Linked DNA regions of Stegostoma tigrinum. The protein of the gene in region 1 binds, or shares a complex with, the protein of each later gene. Links are inferred from orthologs where the notes say so. Each region holds a gene or a part of one and is shown on either strand. Other genes may lie near its edges. The genes, in order: pole, pole4 and pole3.

Region 1 (7,593 bases):
CTCCTGCACCATTTACAAGTTTGCAGCTTTCATAAAGTCCATGTGCTTTTTCAGGATCATGAATCCTATCCAAACTCTGTACATCACTGGACCTGACCTCAAGTCAACTATGTCTCTTACCCATGCAGGATTATTCCCGTGGTTCATACATCAAACTTTGTTCCCTGAAGTAAATTGTCTCTATTGCTTAGCAGAGTCTTGTGTCCAGCCCTGGCATTCCTGATACTGTTTCAACCTCCCCCAACTCTGGTGGAGCTATCCCTGTAGTTGAATGGGATGTTGGGGGGGGGGGGGGGGGTGCAGGAGTGGTCCTATATTCAAATAAGAACCAGGACAGTTTGATATCAAGTGAAGCTGTAGGCTGTTTCTTTAAGCTTTAAGCCTGTCTTCAAAGTTTGGACTGCTCTTTCTACCAGACCATTGGATGATGGATGATATGGAGCTGTCCTTATGTGATGAATATCATTTGATCTTAGGAAATACTCAACTTCCCTGTTGGTAAACGATGGCCTATCATCTGTGATCAACACTTCCAGGAGTCCTTGCTTTGCAAAAGATGCGTGCAGTTTTTGTTAACCCCTTGTTTGACAAATGAGCTTTATGCATGCCCAGCCACTTTGAGTGGGCATCCACAATGACTAAGAACATTGAGCCAAGGATACTGCATACTCGACATGAGTCCAGGGCTTACCTGGCCATATTCACAAATGTGGGGAGCTGCTGGCAGTAATTTTTGTCCTTGTTGGCACTCTGGGCACTGCCTCACCAATGCAGCTATCTGCATCTAGTCTGGCCACCAGACATAAGTGCTTGCTACTGTCTTCATTTTGGAAACCCCTGAATGACCCTGGTGGAGTTCACCCAGTATTGGGCAGCAACCTTTGCTCAGGTGTAACCACTCTTGCTCCCATAATAACGTCATCCTGTACTGCAATCTGCTCTCTCTGGGTCCAAAATCATTTAAATTCTGGTTGTGACTACCTTTGGTTTCTCCCATCACCACCAGCTGTTGCAATTTTGCCAATCTTCCTGCATTCAAAGTCTGATACTGTCAGTTGTGTCTAGAAATGTGTCCAGAAAATTTAAAACTATTATGGACTCTTCTAGTGGCAGTACCACCAGCAGTGCATCTGCCAGTAGGAAGCGTCCAAAACCATCTGCATTTGCTATTTGGCTCCTGGACAGTGCTCGAACTTGTAATTATACATGTTTAGTATTAGAGCCCACTGCTGAATTCGGCCTGAGGGATTTGTGGTCCATTATTATCACAAATTTACATCCGTAATGGTATTGATGCAACTTCCTACTCCAAATATGACTGCTGTAACTTCCTTTTGAGTGTTTTTACACTTTGCATTAGCTAAAGTCCTGGATGCAAACGCTACTGGGTGTTCCTCTTCATTAGCCTAGCCTACACTACCCCGATGCCTTACAGGGAGGCATCAATGTCAATAGCAAAGCTTGCTTGGGATAATTGTGTGCCAACACCATAGATAGCAATAGCTGTTTATTTATTTCCCAAAAGCTACAGTTGGGCTACACAACCATTTCCAAGGTTGACCCTTTTTGAAGAGTTGTTGCAAAGGTGCAAGAATGGAGTCCAAGTTATGCATGAACTTTCAGTGATAATTCACCAGCCCAATGAAACATCTAAGCTTTGGTACAGACATGGGAGCTGGGGTACCTTTGATCACACTCACTTCATCTTCCAACATGTACAGCCCAGTCTTGTTGACTCTGTTGACCAAGTAGGTCACTTGGGGGCCTGGAACATGCATTTTTCCCTTCTAAGGCATATATCTGTCTTGGAGAAACATTGGACTATGTCCAAGTTCTCTAAGTGCTCCTAACTGGTCTTCCCTGTTATTAGATCATCATTTAGATAAAAGGCAGCCTGGGGTAGACCTCATACAATGTTCTCCATTGTCCACTGAAAAGTTGCACAGGCTGAAGATACTCCATATGGCAGTCTCTCATATTGGTACAAACCCTTATGGGTATTAATAGTAGCATACTTCTGGGAATTCTCACCTAACTGCAATTGCAAGTATACATGGTTCATGTCCATGTAAAGGACATGATCCCCCCAACCCTAACACCAACTATGCATATAAGTTCTTTATGTGAGGGAGTGGGTATTTATCCAGCTGCAAAAAGCAGTTTACCATTTGTTTAAAATCCCCACAAAGGTAAACTGACCCATTGGGCTTCACTATCGGTACTGCCCATTCTGCAAACTGGACTGATTTGATGATTCCTTCACTTTCCAGCCTTCTGATTTCTGCATCTATTTTTGCCCACAAGGCAAGTGGCACTGGGCGGATTTTGCAAATCATGGAATTGCTCGCTGGTCACCTTCAATAGTGCCTAGACCTTCCTGAACATCCTCTGGGTATTTCAGACTTCATTCAGCCTGCCATTTTCTAATCAAGAAATGTTGAGCCAAACTAAGTGAATCGTTCTCAAACAATTTCACTGCATCAGGCTTGGGCCCAAGCCTTTTACTACAAGCAGTGGTAACTGAACCAGCTGTTTTTCATAAGAGACTGGAACCAATGTTGTACCCTTAATCTATAAAGGTTCTCAGTCTATTTGAGGACTTGTGCAGATTTATGAGTTGAGACTAGAGCAAATTTTGTTAAAGACTGATTCTGTGATCACTGAAATGGCTGAACCAATATCAAGCTCCATTAGAGGCAGGTGACCATTTAACCAAATATTTATTTTGATTGGATCTGATTTGGATGTTGACAAGAAATTTAACTGTTACAAACCAGACCTAGTTAGACTTTCTAGGCTGTCCACTCTCTTGGATATTAGCCTATGAATTCACATTCTACATTTAGGTTTAGTGGTACATTTTTGCTGTTTCAGGTCCATGGCAAAACCTACAATGGTGTCCAGCCTGGATCCTGGGACAAATTCTGGCAATTGGGACTAGATTAATTTTGGACATCTGGTCAGCATGGAGGAATTGGACTGAATGGCCTGTTTCCATGCTGTACAACCCCACAACTATGTCAGTTTTTGACAGAGTAGACTGAAACTGCTTGCACTAGCAAGAAGTTCAGGAACTGAAGGCTACACAGCTAGAATAATTGGCAAAAAGATCACTTAAGAGATTTTTTAAAAAACTTAAAATTAATACAGCAAGTTGCTGCCTGAATCACAGGTGGAAACAGATTTAAAAATGTCTTTCAACAGGATTAGTTTCTACTTGAAGTCAAATGGGAGCAAGAGCAGAAAACAGGAAAAATTTGAATGAAGAATCACCACAGACATGCTGAGATGATAGAAATCTCTTGCACAGAAATAGGCATGATGTCCACTTTAAAAGTGGCAACAGATACTAAAACCTTTGAAAAGTTTTCAAATTTAATAACCAAAAAAGCTGCAGGTCCACAAGCTGTCAGGAGAATCACTCTTTGCTTTTCATCTGCCCCAATGTCACTGCCTGGAAAAAAAAACACATACTTTCCAGATTCTAGGTCCAGTCTTTGATGGCAGGATCAAATGAGTGAAGCTTCCAAAATAATGGTACAATGCCAGAAATGCTTGCCCCAACTCAAAGATGACTGTTGCAAGTAAATTTCTTCAGGAGCGTGCTTATCTCTTCTCGCCACTGAAATACCTCCACAGAGGCTGATGTGCTGTCACCAAATCACCCTTTACTTATATGTAGAGAATCCTTGATACTGTTGCAGCTCTCGAGTGAACAGAACATCTGTCATTCTTATTTATACATGTCAGCCCGAGCCCCTTGATTTGACCAGGTTAACCATCCCAATCAGGGAACTCATATTCAATGACGTCTGCCTGTTACAATCACTGCACTATTTACCTTATCTACGCCCCTCATGACTTTATAAGGTCACTCCTCAACTGCCAATGCTCTAGTGAAAAACGTCCCAGGCTTTCCAGCCTCTCAATATAATGCAAACTCTCCAGTACCCCTAACACCCTTGAAAGTCTTTTCTGAACCCTCTCCAATTAAATAAGATCCTTCCTGTAGCAGAGCAACCAGAACTGTACACAGTGCTCCAAAAGTAACCTCACCGACACCCTATCCAGCTGCAACATGATGTCCCAACGACCTGAAAAAATGATTCTGCGCTGTTTCTCGTTTGGCAGTTGCTGTGTGACCCACTGGTTATTTCCAGTGTTGTCTGATTTTATTTTTCAAGAAAAGGCGGATTATGAGTCCTCATCCTTATACTGCGGCCATTCACAAATTCAAAACAATCCAAACACCACTAATTGAACAATCAATGTCTGTAGCCAAATCAGGGAGGTAAAACCTGTCACTGAAATGAGTGCAGACAGCTATCAATAAGATGCCTTTCCTTCCAATGAAGATTTCTTTCACCAAGCTGCCCTTTTACTCTCAGACGTACGGTATGAAGTGGGCGGGGTCAATATGCTCGTTCCGCTCTTTCATCAAATCAGAAACCTTCCGATATTGTCCAGTCAGTATGCGCGTGGTAAGATCTCGCGGTGATGCTAATGCCAGATCTCGCGAGAGATACTAGAGCGCGCGAATTGAGTGAATGAGCGGTAGACATGGTGCTGCAGAACAGTGGGAAGCTAAGAGCTGAGAGACGGCCGGTGGCCGATACTAGCAATCTGTGAGTCTCAACATTGTTTGTTGCCAGTACCGATGAATATAACTACTTAGCAACAAATTTTAGCTATAGTTCCTGGGAGACGAAGGATGCCTCTAGTCAGAAACACACCAGCAGTTCATAACATTGACATCAAGCAGGCCTTTCAGTTGTTGCAGGCTGGCCACTCACTATACCACATTTCCAGTTGGTGCTGTGTCCTCGGAGCAAATTACTTCAGGTCCTGGAATTTGTACTGAAAACAAAAAGTGCTGGAAATCGCAGCGAATCAGAGAGCACTGTAGGATGAGAGCAAGCTAACGTTTCGAGTCTAGATGACTGTACAGAGCTCATCTAGACATGACACGTTAGCTTGCCCTCTCCCCGAGGATGTTGCCCGATCTGATCTGATTTCCAGCACTTTTTTGTTTTTGGTGTTGTGTGTTCTCGTTCGGTCTGATTGCCTTATTTCACTGTTATTGTAGTAGGCAGGTGTAGGTTATTCGTCTTTCCGTTCTCCACTGCTACCTTGTTTTGTGCTGCCTCTACCAGCAATTGATTGTTGAAACTAAAAATCGCCTAGCGTTCGAGTCTCAATATCTACGAAACATTTTAATGTTGCAATTTACATATCTTGTTTCTGCCGCACTCTTCGGTGTGTGAGATTGTGCGAAGACTTCTAAATAATTTGAGTGTCATTGGATTATTTTTTGATTTGAGTTAAGGAAATATTGTTGCACCGAAGAAACCGGATGAGCCTATCTATGAATCTACGAAGTGAGTTTTGGTGCTGCCTGTTTGTAATTATGCTTGTTTAATTCTGATGTAGGTCAGGCCTGTTATTGGCATTTTTAAATCAAAAATGTGTAAAGTAATCTTTCCTTAAATTTCTAGAGTTGAAGAAAACACTAAATTTTAAGACAAATAAAATGCATTCTGATGTGTTTTAACGAGTTTTCGATTGTGCCGAAGTGGGCAATGGAGCCAGCTGTGGAATAGGATATGAGCAGGGTTTATGATGGGTTGATGTATGGATCCTTGGGAATGTGATTTCTTAAAATACTTCTCAAACTCTTCTGTACTAAGTTGTCACATTACTGCGTAGAAATGTGATCAGTAAAATCATTTTGATTGGTGTTGCATTTGAAGAGCTGAGCACTACTGCTCTACTCACACAACTTCACAGATTGCAACAAAAAAGTTTTTCTTTCAGTTACAGAAATGACCAATTAAATATTTCTTAAAATTCTTTCACTGAGTGTGTCGCTAGCAGCAGTGAAGAAAGAATTATTAACGTTTCAGGTCTACAACCTTTTATCACTTCTTGATGCTTCTAGGTATAAAACCTCTGATTTATTGTTTTGCGTCAGCACATTAATGTTGATTAGTCATAAACAGAATGGAATACTCAAATTTATTATGGCAATTAATTTTTATGTGAATGAAGTAAGATTTACATTTTTATAATTCTTTCTATGGCCTCCCTATGTCCCTAAGTATTTTGCAGCCACTGTAGTTCTTTTAAAGTGTGTTAATTGTTGTAGGGCAAGATTGGAATTTCCTTGAGTCCAAGGAGGCAGGAGCAATTAAACATTAGTCCATTCATCTGTTAGTGATAAACTGCCCTTTTGCAGATGATTTAATGGTATCTCTTGTGCTTTTGCTCTCGCAGTGAGGATGGCTCCTCCCTTCCTGCACTCAAGCGCCTGGAGCGCAGTCAGTGGACAGATGAGATGGATGCACGATTTGGGTTTGACCGCCTTAAAGATCCAGGCGAGAAGACTGGTTGGCTTATCAACATGCACCCAGTTAGTTATCCTTCTAACTTAACCTTGTTTCAAAGTTAAACAGCCATTTTCCAGCAGGGGCCCTGATTTACGAATGCCTGACTTAAGTGTTTGTCCTTACAAATACAATCTGAAACAGGGCTATAATTTTAACAATCTGACATACAAACGTTTCCTGTGCTTTTGATTGACCATCTAACTATTATTTTGAATTTGTGTTTTGACTTGAATACCAGTTGACATATGAATGGACTGTAGAATGGAACCTGCTTGCAACCTGGGGAAGAGCTGTACTTTTAAATTTTGGTATTGTGATATATTGATGATGTAGGTTTCTCAAATATGTTCCATGTGGTTTAGTGCCGTTAATCTTTCAAGTTCGGGGAAATGATAATTTGCATGCATTTGTATACAGTTATTTTAGGTATTTGTAAATTGCCACATTTATTTGCTCTCTATGCTGATTTTGATTTACAGGCAGAACTCCTGGATGAAGACAAGAGATTGATCAGTGCTGTGGATTATTATTTTGTTGAAGAGGATGGGAGCAGATTCAAGGTGTGTAACAATTTATGTAAGGATTGTTTTTTCTCCTTCATGGGATGTACATGTTGCTAGCTAGACTATCTGATGCCCATGCCTAATTGCCCTTGATGGTGGTTGTCATCTGCTTTTTTGAACCATTGCAGTCCATTTGGTATAACTGTGTCCAAAGTGCTGTTGCGAAAAGAGCTCTAGGGTTTTTGACCGAATGATGGATGGGGAGTGCATCAAGTGAGCTTCTTATTCTCTGATGGTGAATGGCATTGAGCCTTTTGAATGTTTCCCAGCTGTCAGCTGGGAAAATAGAGAGTATGTCACAGTAAAGTGATGGAAGATGTAATCAACAGTGCTATCATACACCAGCTTTTCGGTAATAACCTACTCAGTGGCACCAGTTTAGGTTCCACCATGCCCACTCAACTGGTGTCCTCTTTTGCAGCCTTGGTTCAAACATGGGCAAAAGTGCTGAATTCCAGAGGTGAGGTGTGAGAGAGAGAGAGCCTTTGACATCAAGGCTGCATTTGACAGATGTGGCATCAGGGGCATGTTGGTTGGAGTCAGACCTAGAGTCATACCGTAGGATATTTGTGGTTGTTGGAGGTCAGTCATCTCAGCGCCAAGACGTCTCCACAGGAGTTCTTCAAGTTAGTATCCTAGGCCCA
Region 2 (7,707 bases), on another chromosome or scaffold:
ACTTTTAACTGCCCTTTGTGCAATTAGGGATGGGCAATAAATGCCAGTCTAGCCAGTGACACCTCATCATGTGAATGAATAAAAATGGTCCCGACAATTTGATTAAAGGTGCTTTTAAAAATAGATTAGAAAAGTAATTGAGTGAATGGAGGGTACATTGTATTAATGCAATAATTGTTCATGTGAAAGATTAACAACAGTCTTGACAGACTGTGGAAGTCAACTAGTTTCAGCCTTCACATCAGTAGCTCGACTCAAGGTAATTCTATCTGCTGCACCTTGCAGCGGCAGTGCCTTCTCCACTGGTGTAGGAAGGACTGACAGGAGAAAACAACAAAACAAAACAACGTTATGGCTGTTAAATAAGGAGGAAGGACTCACCTTCCAAAAATGCAAATTCATCTGTAACATCAACTGCATTGTCTGAAAGAGAAATAAAAATACAATATCTAGCAACTTTGACAACTTCCAAACAAACCAACAATTGACTATTTCATCACTGCAGTCCCACCTTCACACAAGATTAGCTCAGCACTTAAATGATTTGTATGTAAATATAGGAAGTATGATTAGCAAGTTACAAATGACATCAAAATTAGCCGTGTACTGTACAGTGAAGAAGGTTACCTATGAGTACAACAGGACCTTGATTAGACAGGCGGAGGAATGGCAGATAAAGTTTAATCTAGATAAATGTGAGGACCTTATACTTTTAATGGTAAGGTCCTGGGAAATGATGCCGAACAAGGAGACTTGCACAGAGCAGTTTCATTGTTCCTCGAAAGTGGAGTCACAGGTAGACAAGGTGACGAAGGTGGCATTTGATACACATGTCTTTATTGATCAGTGCATCGAGTATAGGAGCTGGGAGATCGTGTTGCAGCAGACAGGACGTGGATTAGGCCACTTTTGGAGTACTGCATTCAGTTGTGGTCTCCCTCCTATAGGAGGCATATTGTGCAACTTGAAAGGGTTTACAAGGATGTTGTCAAGGATGGAGTGTTTGGGTTGTACGGGGAGCCTGAATAGGCTGGGGCTATTTTCCTTCGAATGTCAGAGGCTGAGGGGTGACGTTATAGAGGTTTATAAAATGATGAGGGACATGGATAGGGTGAATAGTCAAGGTCTTTTCCCTAGGATAAGCGAGTCCAAAACTAGAGGGCATTGGTTTAAGGCGAGGGGAAAGATTTGAGGAGGACCAAAGAGGCAACTTTTTCATGCAGAGGGTGACGCACCTATGGAATGAATTCCCAGAGTCAGTGGAGGAGCTTGGTACAATTACAACATTTTAAAGGCATTTAATGGGTATAAGAAAAGGAAGGGTTGAGGGGGGATTTGGGCCAAATGCTGGCAAATGGAACTAGATTAATTTAGGATATCTGGTCTCCATGGATGAGTTGGACCGAAGAGTTTGATTCCATGCTGTACTTTTCTATGACTCTGACTTGAAAACACAGCCACTCACATACATTGTAATGCAAAGACCTTTTTAATGCTGGCAAAAACAGTCTGGAATAACAAACCGCTGACAGACTCACCCACATCCTTTCGTTGGATGGTTTTACGCTTGCCCCGCAAAGCAAATGAGTATGCATCCTTCGCAATCACTTCAACAAAAAGTTCCTTTGGGAGAAACCAAATACAGTGTTCAGTCACTGTAGTACCCAGGTTGCTCAGTATACACTCACTCTCTCCAGGAACCCAGTATACTGCTCCAGTTCTCATACAGCTCTCATCTCTGTCCTGAGCAGGAGTAGCATTTCCTCCCAGTGTTTCTCTCCACAATGAGGAAAGTTGCTTTTGCCTCATTATTAAACAATAAACAGATGCCAAGATACTAGTTTCCTTAAGAGTTAAACTAAATTAAAGTATTCTTATGCAAGACAATCATTGTCACCGTCATCAGGGATTAAATGATCCAGAATCCAGCTCCATGTCTGTTTTTGCCCCGTATCCCTTAAAATTATTGACCTAGATTTAAAAATATTTAAAATCTAAATGTTTAAAAGCGTCACAAACTGGTGCAGAAAATAATCATGAAAGCTAATTCTTGCCTTTATATCTACAGGACTAGAGTACATGAATGCAGAAGTTAACACTTCTAAACAAAAAGGGTGGTACATGTTTGGAATTCTCTATCACAAACTGCAGTGGACGCTGAATCGTTGTTAATTTCAAATGTGAAACAGGCAACTTTTTGTTAAGCAGTGGTATTATGGGATACAGGCCAAAGACAGGTAGACAGATTTAGGTCACAGATCAGCCACAATCTTACAGAGTGGTGGGGCAGGCTTAAGGAGCTGAATGGCCTCTAACTTATTTCTATAACTGCTTGGAGGTGGGGGTCAAAACTTCAACTACCCTTGTATGTCAATAGGTATCATTACTTTTCAAAAGTCTGGCTCTACGGCTTTGATTATGCCCTCTAATCTGGTGGCATCTATGGAGGGGGGTGGCGGGGAACATCACTTTAATAACTCTTCAAAAAAAAATGCAGCAACGTTTGGTTTTTATTTTAGTGGTCACACTTCTAGAATAAAGGATGTTTAGTTCATTATTATTTTTCTTCAAGGAATAGCTACACCGAAGAAGATCTGAAGTGTCCAGTATTTTACGTTTATCCTTATCTCTACTCGTAATTTACCCCTGGAGATTACTGTGGTAAATATACTATGTACCCTCACCAAGTAGCCCTGAGCTCAGCACCAAACAAGAAACACGGGCAACGACCGAGCGAACTGTCCCCGCGAGGGCAGTCCGGCCACACTGACTGTTACGGCCTGGAGCGGTGGTGGTGGTGGCAGGGGAGGGAGCTGGGTGGTGGTCGGGGAAGCCGCCATTCACTCACACACCGTGGCCTTGCCGATGGCGAACACAGCCTCCTGACTCGCCAGCGAGACATCGGGATCAGCTTTCATCAGCCCCTTGATCCGGCTCAGCGGCAGCCGCAGCAGTTTATGCTGTAGGCCCAGCCTGTCCACCTCGGCCTCCAACTGTAGGCTCTGGCCCGGCTCCACTCCACTCTCGCGCTCCTCCATCAGCCGCCTTCCCGCCACGCCGCCTGCCGCCCCCAACAACCACCAATCAGAACGCGAAGTCACCCCTCCACCAATCACAGCAAGCATAGGCGGGCCAGTCACGACACTGGACAGAAGCACCAATCACAACACAGTACAGTAACGCCAATCATCAAAGGGCGCGCAAACAGTCCAATAGCACGACTGGGGGAAGGGGTGTGGTCCAATCAGATGGTGCAACATGAACTTTTCTACCCAATCAATCGGCTGCAATTAGGGGCAAAGCTCAGTTACAAGAAGGGACCATGCTGGAGATTCTCAACAGCCGTTGCCAGATGTGATGAGTGCTTCCAGCATTCACAGTTCTTTTTCTTTGTTTAAAGCACAGCAAAGTAGAGACGTTTTGGTTCATTAAGTTTGCCGACCAGGCTATATTGATCCCACTTTCCAGCACTTCCCTCGTAGTGGGAGGTGATGGCCTAGTGATAGTATCACTAGCCGATTAATCCAGAGACCCAGGTAATGTTCTGGGCAATTTAAAAAATTTGGAATTGTATGTCTAGTTATGACAATGAACCGTTGTTGATTGTCAGGCAAACAAAAGGGAAAGAAACTGTAATCCTTATCTGGTCTGCAGTCTCCATGTGACTCCAGATCCACAGTAATGTTGTTGACTCTGAACTGCCAATGGTAATGATTGTTGGTGTAGCCCACATCCTCTGAATGAATTGGAAAAAATAGCCTGGAGTGTTATGACGTTTCAGTTGCTTATCCAAGCATTTTTGAAGGTTGAAACAAAAACTGAAGTTGCCTGTAAAGCTTAGCAGGTCTGTGATGAGAAATCAGAGTCATCCTTTCAAGTTTGGTGACCTTACCTCAGAATTGACAGTGGCTAGCAAAATGTCTCTGTTTAGTCTCCTTCAACAGTTAGTCACTATCCTAGTGAGATCGTTATCCACTTCATTGTCCAATTGTTCTTCTCACTCTTTAGGCCCTATTCCCACTTATCATTTATTCCCTACACCCTCCCCCACACTATCTACTGCATATAAAATAACATTTTCTTAGCTATCATCTGTTCTGAGGAAGGGTCACAGGACTGGAAAAATTATGCTGATTTTTGCTTCATAGATGTTGCCAGACCTCCTAAGCTTTTCCAGCAATTTCTGTTTTTGTTTCTGATTTACAGCATGCACAGTTCTTTCCATTTTTAAAAGTTGTGAGATTTCCCATCTTTTCTTCTCTCCCAGTCTGTGCATTTGAGGTTTCCATCACCCTCTGAGTGAAAAATGTTTTTCCTCAAATCCCTAAAGCTCCTGCCCTGTATCTTAAAATTATGGCCCTTTGCCATTGATCCTTCAGTTAAGGAGAACAGCTGCTTACCCACCCTGTCGATGCCCCTCGTAACCTCATATGTCTTAATCATGTCCCCCCCTCAACCTTCTCTGCTCTGTAAAAAATGACTTGAGCCCATCCAATCTCTTGTCGTAGCTAAAATGCTCTAACCCATGCAAGATCCTGATAAATCTCCTCTGCGCTCCCTCCATTGTAGTCACATACTCACAAAGAAGTGAATTAATACTTGCTTCTGCAGTGCTCAGAATGGAAGAGGTTGATTGGGCTTAAAGTTGTAAATTGTGGCTGAATGCACTCCAAGAGTGTCCTGGAAATGTTGATCTTAAATCCTTGGAGATTCCAGGACTCTCTTGGAGGGATGATAATTTTGTCCTAGGTCAAGACAGATTGGTAAAGGGTGATGTAGATTGTTTCATGTTCAAGGTGGAGTTTAGAGCAATCAGATATCGATGTTGAGGTTGCTTCCGAGTAGTTGGTCTCACATCTGTGAAGGCTGGAATGCAGTGCTCTCATACCTGTCCCAGAACACCAACTTTGATTCCAAAATGGAGAACACACTGGCCTAGGCTACACTGTTGAGACTGGAGAATGATTCTGTCTGAAATGAAGCTGTTGTACACCATTGGTCTCTACAAGGAGGAAAATAATTCCTTCTTGTAGAATTTGCAGTACTTTAGCAGGTTATTCAGCCTACTGTGTTGAAAGTTTTCAATAATTTCCACTGCCCAGTTCTTTCTCCTCAGCGCTGAGATTTATTATTTTTAAAAATACCTTATGAGGAAAGTGAAGTTTTGGCATTTGCATTCCAAGTCAGGAACATAGTGTGATGCTCATCAGACTAACGCACATCAAATCAGAACACACTGACGCTGCAGTTAAAGTTAGTCATTCTTCTGAAAAGCTAGATGAGATAAAATGAATTTTATATCTACTTTTCAGAATTCCTTGTGCTCTGTAATTCAGTATTAACTGCCCATTTCCATAATCTGTGGCCTTCTGGGTGAAAGTCGCTCTTTAACTCCATTGCTTGTTCACTGTGAGCGCAATTACATCCACAAGAAGCCTTCCCAATACACAGTGCGCCATTTTGTCTTGCAGTAAGAATAGTATTATTAGATTAAGATGAGCATTGGACAGATATCTTTCAACTGCTGGGAAATACATGATCATACATCTATTGCCAAAAGGGCAGTTTGTTGTGTGCAAGGAAGGGCGTTAGAGTGAATTCCAAACACAGCTTCCAGTGGAAGGGGTGTTACAAATCATTAACCAATGGTGCATGGAGCATGAGGGTTTTTATTCCATGGTGTTGGAAGAATTGGAGCGAATTGAAAGAAGTAGTAGTTCTCTAATCTTACCTACTTTGTCCGGTCAGTTATGTTCTAATAATGGCATGCAATCTTGAGATATCCAGAACCACTGACATCTCCCCACACAAGGCTATTATGACCCGTTCCATTCTTTTTCTTTCTGTGAATACCTCATTGTCATTCCCTGCACGTGATCTGTCCCATTAATACCTGTGAGTTAGCATCTGAGAAAAAAAAAAATAGATCTTTACTTTGGTCTTTTGGCTACCAGGGAAATGGATGGAACTATTGTTTTATAATGGAGTTAGTTATAAGTTACTCAGTGCTTGGAAATAATTCTGCCTTGTCTGCTCCTGGTCCTGCAGAAGCAAAATGAAAGGGGATGATTAACTGAATTTAACACATTGACGGATGGTGCAAGAAAATTCAATAGCCTGCTTCCTCTCCAAGTTGGCTTTTAATTTATGCAGCAACAACTTACTTCCCATCACCCCACCCAACATAATTTACCCCTTCTTCACAGGAGTAATGCTCCTGTTGCTCATTATTTTACAAATTAGATGAGTTACAAATCACTTGAGAGTGGCCCACTCAATAAGTTCAGGTACATATCTGAATTATCTCTTTCTATTCTGTTGAAAATTTGTCTAGGTAAAATTCTTGTTTCTGATGCTTCTGTATAAGTTGTCAAATCAACCTGGATGCTGGGTTCACCCTGAACACATGGCTCAGGCTGGGTTCACTATCTCGTCTGACACAAGTGTTTGGCCCAGAGAGACAAAGACAGAAAGTTAAGCATAAGGTGGGGGCAAGAATACTTGAGTTCACAAATCACACTATAGTGGGCAAAATAGAGAACAACAACAATTCATACTTATGTAGCATATTTAACAAATTAAAATGTCTCTTCACCGGTGCATTATAAAACAGACAGGCATACACATGGATGCATATACATACAAGCACTGTACTTTGCAGTAGCAATGGGACATACACACACAAACCTCTATGTTCCTCCTGCTGTGGCCTTTTGCGCATCCCAAATACCATCTACAAGATGCTCTGCAGTAATTCACCAAGCCTCCTTCGTTAACACTTTCCAAATATATGACTGCTATCACCTAGAAGGACAAGGGCAGCAGCTATATGGAGCACCTACACCTGCAAGTTCTCCTCCAAGCCAAACCATTCTGACTTAGAGCTACATTGCTGTTCCTTCACAGTTGCTGGGTTAAAATCCTGGAACTCTCTTTCTAACTGCACTGTAGTGGTCCCGACATCATACAGGGGGGGCTTCAGTGGCTCAAGAAGGTGGCTCACCACCACCTTTTCAAAAACTGTTAGGGGTTGACAATAAATGCTGGCCTAGCCAATGACACTCACACTGCGAACAAATTTTAAAAATCACTTTGCTCCACAATAGATGGCAATGCTCTAAGGTTTTGGAGTAGATCTGTAGCTTGGGTTGTGGGCGTTGAGGTTGGTTGGCTCACTGAACTGTTTTGTTGTTCTGCAGACGTTTTGTTACTGTGCTGGGTAACATCCTCAGTGCAGCCTCTGATGAAGCGTCGGTGTGTTTTCCTGCCTGGTTTTTAAACTCTGGGGTCCGTTATGATGGATTGCCTCACTTCTGACATGTTCACAGTTGACGCATGGTCGTGACAAGATCTTCTTCAGTTAAATACGTTGCCACCAATGCTTCTTTAAGTATTAGAAGGATGAGCCACAGATCAGTAGTAGGTTATGATTTATTACATAATAGTGGGGAAGTGATGGTGTTATCACTGGACTGTTAATCCAGAGACATAGATAACATTCTAGGGACCCAGGTTCAAATCTTGCCACTGCAGATGGTGGAATTTGAATTTAATAAATATCTGGAATTAAGAATCTAATGATTACAGTGAATCCATTGTCAATTAGAGGAAAAACCCATCTGGTTCACTAATGCCCTTTAGGGAAGGAAACTGCCATTCTTACCTGGTCTGGCCTACATGTGACTCCAGCCGCACGGCAACGTGGTT
Region 3 (7,402 bases), on another chromosome or scaffold:
TGTTGCAATAGCCTATATTTAAATTTAAGGAACTTACTACATTTTAACTGGGGCATTAACAATGAAGTGTGTGTTCTGGTACTTGACCATCCCCTGATAGCCAATTTCAAATTGTATGTGATATTATAAAAGCAATGTAAAGTGTGTCCTTGTATTGATTATTCACATCATTTCTCCAGATAACAAATGCTGCATTTATTCAAATTATCCTTACTAATAGAAACAGTTCTGAAGGGTCACTTGTCTCAAAACATCAACTCTGCTTTCTCTATTTATGCTTCCAGACCTACTGAGTTTCTCCAGTAATTTGTTTTTGTTTCAGATTTCCAGCATCCATTCATTGTTTTAACTTCAAATGGCAAAATTCTGTCAAGAAAAGTACTTCATTTTATAGTAACTAGTGAACAACTAAGCAGTGAGAATTTCTTTTTAATTCGGAAAATTTATTATCTATCAGATGTTATCATAAGGCATAAAAATATAGTTCACAATCTAGTAGAGTCAACCGCGCAAAATCTGTGATTACAGATGCTTGTCTAATTCACGCTCACCGCCTCTTTAATAATCCTAGTAATGACTGCATTTGGTAGATTCAAGTCTTCCGGTCTCTCAGCCATCTTTCTCACATAAACTACAAATACACAAACAATTCAGTTAGATGTGTTAAAGTCCAGGGCAGCTGAGACATTCCTCAACTCCAAAACTACCATAAAACTACCGGCCAAGATGTAATACCTTGGACAAAGGTCTCAGGAATATGGAAACCTTTGGATGCAAGGTAACATAAGCAATACATGTTTAGCAGTTTGGGCATAGAACATAGAACAGTACAGCACAGAACAGGCCCTTCAGCCCACAATGTTGTGCCGACCATTGATCCTCATGTATGCACCCTCAAATTTCTGTGACCATATACATGTCCAGCAGTCTCTTAAATGACCCCAATGACCTTGCTTCCACAACTGCTGCTGGCAACGCATTCCATGCTCTCACAACTCTCTGCGTAAAGAACCTGCCTCTGACATCCCCTCTATACTTTCCACCAACCAGCTTAAAACTATGACCCCTCGTGCTAGCCATTTCTGCCCTGGGAAATAGTCTCTGGCTATCAACTCTATCTATGCCTCTCATTACCTTGTATACCTCAATTAGGTCCGCTCTCCTCCTCCTTTTCTCCAATGAAAAGAGACCGAGCTCAGTCAACCTCTCTTCATAAGATAAGCCCTCCAGTCCAGACAGCATCCTGGTAAACCTCCTCTGAACCCTCTCCATTGACATCCCCACATCACCAGATGGTCTCAGGTATAAGTTTACCACATATCACTGAGGATACACTTAATACAGAGAATTCCAGACTGGGATGGTTCTACTGCATGAAAATGCCATATTCAGAAGGATTTTGCAGTGGGGATACTGCACTGGGATAAATTTATCATGGGTGTGCCTCTGTACTGGGGTTTTTTCACTATGGGTCAGATCTGTTACAAATTTGAAACACTGGATGCTGTACACATGGGGCAGGGTATCAAAGGGCTGCCAACGTACTTGTACAGTTGTCTTTTGCAAATCCAAAAATCATTTGGGAGATGGGAATTTTAAAAAACACAAAAATACAAAAGAATTCAGCTAAATTATTTAAAGGACAATTAAATATACACTAGCAGCTAGTTTTGAATTGTCAAAATAATTGTGACATATGACTCAAAAAATGTTAAAAAGAAAAACACTTTTTGCTGTCTGCTTACAACCAATGTTCTACTGTATACACTGAAACAGGCCTCTACTTCAGCACCTTTACTGCAGTATGCACGGCGCACTGAAGATTGTCTTAATGAACCATTAAACTGAGGACCCATCTGCCTGCGCACACAGGCACAAGATCCCTGACACTGTTCACAGAAGAGCGGAGAGACACAGTTAACTTTCCTCAGCAAACATCACTGAGAAAAAATTAACTGCTTCCATTGCTTTTTGTCAGTTCCAAATTAGTTGTTGACCTATACATACTTCAAAAATAACTGATGCACTGAGAAATACATTGGGATAGCCCAAGGAAGTGAAAGGATAACAAAAGTATAAACACTGCTCAATCTAAGTTGAGACACCTAACATGCATGTCTCTTCATCCACTTTTCAATCTAACGATCAATATTGATTTAGATTTTATCTAAGCCACCAACTCTGAAAGTGAATTCCATGTGACCACATTATACAAGATGTTTCTTCTGATCTATTGTTTATATTATTTAATTCACATGAATCTCCATGCTCACTCAAAGCCTCAACAGTAGTTACAATTCATGCAGCCCAACACTGTATAGGAACTTTACATTGGATCTTCATTAACCTTGGTAGTGATTCTACATTGAAAAGCTGGCCCAAACAAAAACAAGGCAGATATTTATTTAACAGTCTACACAATCTCCAAAAATTCCATGGGACTTTTCAGACAAAGAAGTGCAACCATCACAGCAAACTCCCACAAACACCAACGGGATAAATAACCAAAGATGCTGGTACAGAGATACATATTGAATAGGACATCAAGGATAGACCCTATTTTCTGTACTGGAAAACTGTGGCATTGAACATGACAGATGAAAGACGCCGTAATCCAAATTTGCCCCTCCGAAAATGCGTCACTGTCTCTCTGGGCTGCTAAACAACCGTACAATGGCCATCTAGTGTTACCGCGCTCCCTCAGCACTGACCCTCCGACAGTGCCCGCTCCCTCAGCACTGACCCTCCGACAGTGCCCGCTCCCTCAGCACTGACCCTCCGGCAGTGCCCGCTCCCTCAGCACTGACCCTCCGGCAATGCCCGCTCCCTCAGGTGGTCAGTTGCCCGGCTCTGCAGACGGCCTAGCCCCGTGCCCTGCCTGAACTGAACCGTCCACAGCCCGCCGCCATGACACTGAGCACCTCATTAGAATAACGGCCACCCACACTCTCACCCCGTCCCTCGCGCGCTCTCACCCGCCAGCAAAAGACGTCCGCAGCCTCCCGCAACCTTTCACCCCTGACCCCCTCCGGAACGCCTGATTGGACGGCTGCTGTGGCGCGTGAGCTCTACCCGCGTCATCTTCCCGCGCTTGGTTACCGAAGGCTGCGGCCTCCAGCCAGAGGCGCCGCCTAAAGGCGCTGGAGAGGAGTTTCACCGCTGCGTGAGTAGTAAGGAAAGTGGTCCAAATTACAAGTGTTATCTCCCAAACTAGTATACCCGGCACTAAGACACTGATCGCTCAAAACTAGCACTGCTGGGTAGGACGTATTCATATTGTCATGACCACGGGTCCCAACCTAAAGTACTGTTAATATTTTTAGCTCATAATTCCGAAGTGGATTTTAAAAGAGAGGCAATCCATAGGGCCATAAGTAGCTGCAGATGTAAATTAATTGACTGACTGGAGAGAAGGATAGCCATGGAATGTCGCACTTAAAGGTGGAAAGGGAACCTTAACCTTTTTCACATACATACAAGAATACACAAAGACAGGGATGTAAAAAGCCTGTTCACTCTGCCAGCATGTGCTCCAGAGGACCTAGGTTCTCGTGTGCCAGTGGGCTGACGTTCCCCTGTGTACGAAGCTCGAATTGAATGTCGGTGCTTTGCAATCATGGATAATGGGAACTGCAGATGCTGGAGAATCCAAGATAATAAAGTGTGAGGCTGGATGAACACAGCAGGCCAAGCAGCATCTCAGGAGCACAAAAGCTGACGTTTCGGGCCTAGACCCTTCATCAGAAAAGGGGGAGGGGGAGAGGATTCTGAAATAAATAGGGAGAGAGGGGGAGGCAATAGGTCAGTCCTGGGAGGACGGACAGGTCAAGGAGGCGGGATGAGATGGTACGTAGGAAATGGAGGTGCGGCTTGAGGTGGGAGGAAGGGATGGGTGAGAGGAAGAACAGGTTAGGGAGGCAGAGACAGGCTGGGCTGGTTTTGGGATGCAGTGGGGGGAGTGGAGATTTTGAAGCTTGTGAATGTTGCAGAAACAGCAACTCATATTCCGCTTGGGAACCCTGCAGCCCAATGGTATCAATGTGGACTTCACAAGCTTCAAAATCTCTCCTTCGCCCACTGCATCCCAAAACCAGCCCAGCCTGTCTCTGCCTCCCTAACCTGTTCTTCCTCTCACCTATCCCTTCCTCCCATCTCAAGCCACATCTCCATTTCTTACCTACTAACCTCATCCCACCTCCTTAACCTGTCCGTCCTCCCCAGACTGACCTATCCCGTCCCCACCTATGCTCTTCTCTCCACCTATCTTCTCCCCTCTCCATCTTCGGTCCGTCTCCCCATCTCTCCCTATTTATTTCAGAACCCTCTCCCCATCCCCCTCTCTGACAAAGGATCTAGGCCCGAAACGTCAGATTTTGTGCTCCTGAGATGCTGCTGGGCCTGCTGTGTTCATCCAGCTCCACACTTTGTTATCTTGCTTTGCAATCATTGTCTAGTTTAATCATTGCAGGTAAAGGGAACCTCTTAATCTGAGTGCTCATTACCAGTAGCTGGGTAGCCAGAGAAAAGTTTGAAAAGACAACAGAAGGACTATATCACCCTGAATGCCGTCATTCATCCACAATCAAAAGGAATCAGAAATACAGGATTTTAATCAACATGCAAATGTAAGACTTGAAACCAACTCTTCAACTTCCAGTGTCAGTGTTGCCAATAAACCCCACTGTCACAGCCATATTATTCAACGTTTTGGGAACAATTAGGAGACAGATCTGAATACAGTAAACTTATTAAGCAGAACCCATGGGACCAGGAGTATGCAGATTAATCAAATATTCTGGTTGATCAAGAGGTTCATCTAATCAATGTAAAAACACACACTTAGTGATTGAAATGTAATGTCGGGTGTCAATGCCCATTATGTGTCTACTCAGGCATTGTGAGGATCACGATAATACAGTTAATTTCAGTTATGTAATTTTTGCCGTTTTATCAAGTGTTGGTTTGTAGGATGCTAGTTAGTACAAAGTTTGCTGTATCTGCTTTTAAAAAATTTTATCTTTTAGATCTCACTTTTTTTCTAACCTGTGTGCTGTTACAAATTCTTGCTTTGAAAACGCAGGTTCATTTGGATCTGGGAGAAAGGCATCTACAAGAGAGAAGATTTGCTTTTAAATTAAACATGTTGAGACCAACATGGCTTGGGTGAATAAAAAAGGAAAAGGCAGTTAATTTTCCCCTGTCTGCTTCTACTTCACCTACGGGCTTAACAAATTGTACAAACTGTCTGGAACCATAACAAGTTGGGGGATCTTGCCAAGGATCCAAGCATAAGAATATGTCGAACACCATTCTTCTGAAATTTCTTTTCTAATTGGAACTCAGTCCTTGGTGTAGAAAATTTGAGAGGATACCTCATTGACAAGGGAATAGTGGTCAGAAATACATTAATATTAATTGTCATAGTGATGGGATCTTTTATTTCCAAATGAAAAGAATGTAGATGTGAGTTTGCTCGCTGAGCTGGAAGGTTAGTTTTCAGACGTTTCGTCACTTTTTTTTAATTGATTTGAAAAAATATACTTTATTCATAGAACATACAAAAAATAAAACATTTATACACCTACCCAGTCATACAAGCTGCTCCGGGTTACCCAGGGGGTACGTGCACCAACTAAAAGGAAAAAACAAAACAAAGGAAAAAAAAAACTAAGCAAAGAAAATACCCCGGCAGTCGTCTCCCCGCACAGTCCCCGTTGGCCCCCTGACCAGTTGGGGAAGGCGCCAGCTGGACCCAGTTACCAGATAGGGCCCTTGTTTCTATTCTGGACGAGGGGTTTCATACGGTGGTCTTTCCCCACCGTGTCTTGCCAGCAGCTGCCCCAAGATTTAGCGCATCCCTCAGCACGTAGTCCTGGACCTTGGAGTGTGCCAGTCTGCAACGCTCGGTCGGGGTCAGTTCTTTCAGCTGGCAGACCAATAAGTTGCGGGCAGACCAAAGAGCATCTTTCACTGCATTGATGGTCCTCCAGGCGCAGTTGATGTTGGTCTCGGTGTGCGTCCCGGGAAACAGCCCGTAGAGCACGGAGTCCCGCGTCACGGAGCTGCTCGGGACGAACCTCGACAAATACCACTGCATCCCCCTCCAGACCTCCTGCACAGACAGTCTCGTCGCCCCCGCAGCCGCCTCAAGGGCAGTGTGCGGTGGTGCAGAGATTCCAGGCATGCATAAAAGATATCACTGGCAGACCCCCTCTCACTGCCAGCCAAGCAATGTCCTTGTGCTTGTTGGAAAGTTCTGGCGATGAGGCATTCTCCCAAACGACTTTGGCAGTCTGCGTGGGGAACCACATGACGGGATCCACCCTCTCCTTTTCCCGAAGGGTCTCAAGAATACTACGTGCTGACCACTGCCTGACAGCCTTGTGGTAAAGGTGTTTCCTTTCAAAAATTTCTCCACGAAGGACAGGTGGTACGGGATGATCCAACTACTCGGAGCGTTCCGCAGCAACGAGGCCAGGCCCATCCTTCGCAACATCGGGGACAGGTAGAACCTCAGTAAGTAGTGACACTTGGTGTTTGCGTACTGAGGATCTACGCACAGTTCGATGCAGCCGCACACAAAGGTAGCCATCAGGGCGAGGGTGGCATTCGGTAAGCCCTTTCCCCCATTTTCCAGGTCTTTGTACATGGTGTCCCTGTGGATCTGGTCCATCCTCGACCCCCAAATGAAGTGGAAGATGGCCCGGGTGACCGCAGCGGCGCAGGTCCAGGGAATAGGCCAGGCCTGCGCCACATACAACAGTACCGAAAGCCCCTCGCACCTGACAACCAGGTTCTTACCCGTGATGGAGAGGGACCGGAGCGTCCACCTTCCCAGCTTCTGCTTCAACTTGGTGATATGCTCCTCCCAGGTCTTAGTGCATGCCCCAGCTCCACCGAACCAAACACCCAGCACCTTCAGGTAGTCTGTCCTGACGGTGAAGGGGATGAAGGAGCGGTCGTCCCAGTTCCCGAAGAACATAGCCTCGCTCTTACCACTGTTGACTTTGGCACCTGAGGCCAGTTCAAACTGGCCACAGATGTCCAACAGCCTACTCACCGACCGACGATCGGTACAGAAGACGGCGACATCGTCCACGTACAGGGAGGTCTTGACCTGAAGGCCTCCGCTGCCCGGGATAGTCACACCCTTCAGGCTCACGTTCTTCCTGATGGATGCGGCGAAGGGCTTCACACAGCACACGAACAAGGCAGGAGAGAGCGGGCAGCCCTGCCTGACTCCATATCTGACGGGAAAAATGTCCAATTCCCACCCGTTGATCGAGACTGCACTAACAATGTTGGTGTAGAGCAGCCGGATCCAATTGCGGATCCCCTCCCCGAACCCCAATTTGGAGAGGACGTCCCTCATGTAAGCATGAGAGACCCTGTCAAAGGCCTT

Evidence for each region.
Region 2: pole (region 1) and pole4 share a complex: the UniProt entries of both Homo sapiens proteins name them as parts of the DNA polymerase epsilon complex. The link is inferred for Stegostoma tigrinum from reciprocal best matches to the Homo sapiens genes POLE and POLE4.
Region 3: pole (region 1) and pole3 share a complex: the UniProt entries of both Homo sapiens proteins name them as parts of the DNA polymerase epsilon complex. The link is inferred for Stegostoma tigrinum from reciprocal best matches to the Homo sapiens genes POLE and POLE3.

Annotation. Positions count from the first base shown.
Region 1 is NC_081379.1:15,997,993-16,005,585, reverse strand, and holds the start of pole (DNA polymerase epsilon catalytic subunit A), read left to right. Parts: upstream 1-4,533; 5' UTR 4,534-4,560; coding exon 4,561-4,625; intron 4,626-6,273; coding exon 6,274-6,409; intron 6,410-6,865; coding exon 6,866-6,946; intron 6,947-7,593. UniProt on the Homo sapiens protein: Catalytic component of the DNA polymerase epsilon complex. Participates in chromosomal DNA replication.
Region 2 is NC_081383.1:26,171,330-26,179,036, reverse strand, and holds the start of pole4 (DNA polymerase epsilon subunit 4), read right to left. Parts: upstream 3,077-7,707; 5' UTR 3,039-3,076; coding exon 2,853-3,038; intron 1,624-2,852; coding exon 1,539-1,623; intron 424-1,538; coding exon 382-423; intron 1-381. UniProt on the Homo sapiens protein: Accessory component of the DNA polymerase epsilon complex. Participates in DNA repair and in chromosomal DNA replication.
Region 3 is NC_081382.1:5,786,720-5,794,121, forward strand, and holds the start of pole3 (DNA polymerase epsilon subunit 3), read right to left. Parts: upstream 3,031-7,402; 5' UTR 2,976-3,030; exon of another isoform or gene 2,954-2,975; intron 2,940-2,953; exon of another isoform or gene 2,744-2,939; intron 632-2,743; 5' UTR 618-631; coding exon 552-617; intron 1-551. UniProt on the Homo sapiens protein: Accessory component of the DNA polymerase epsilon complex. Participates in DNA repair and in chromosomal DNA replication.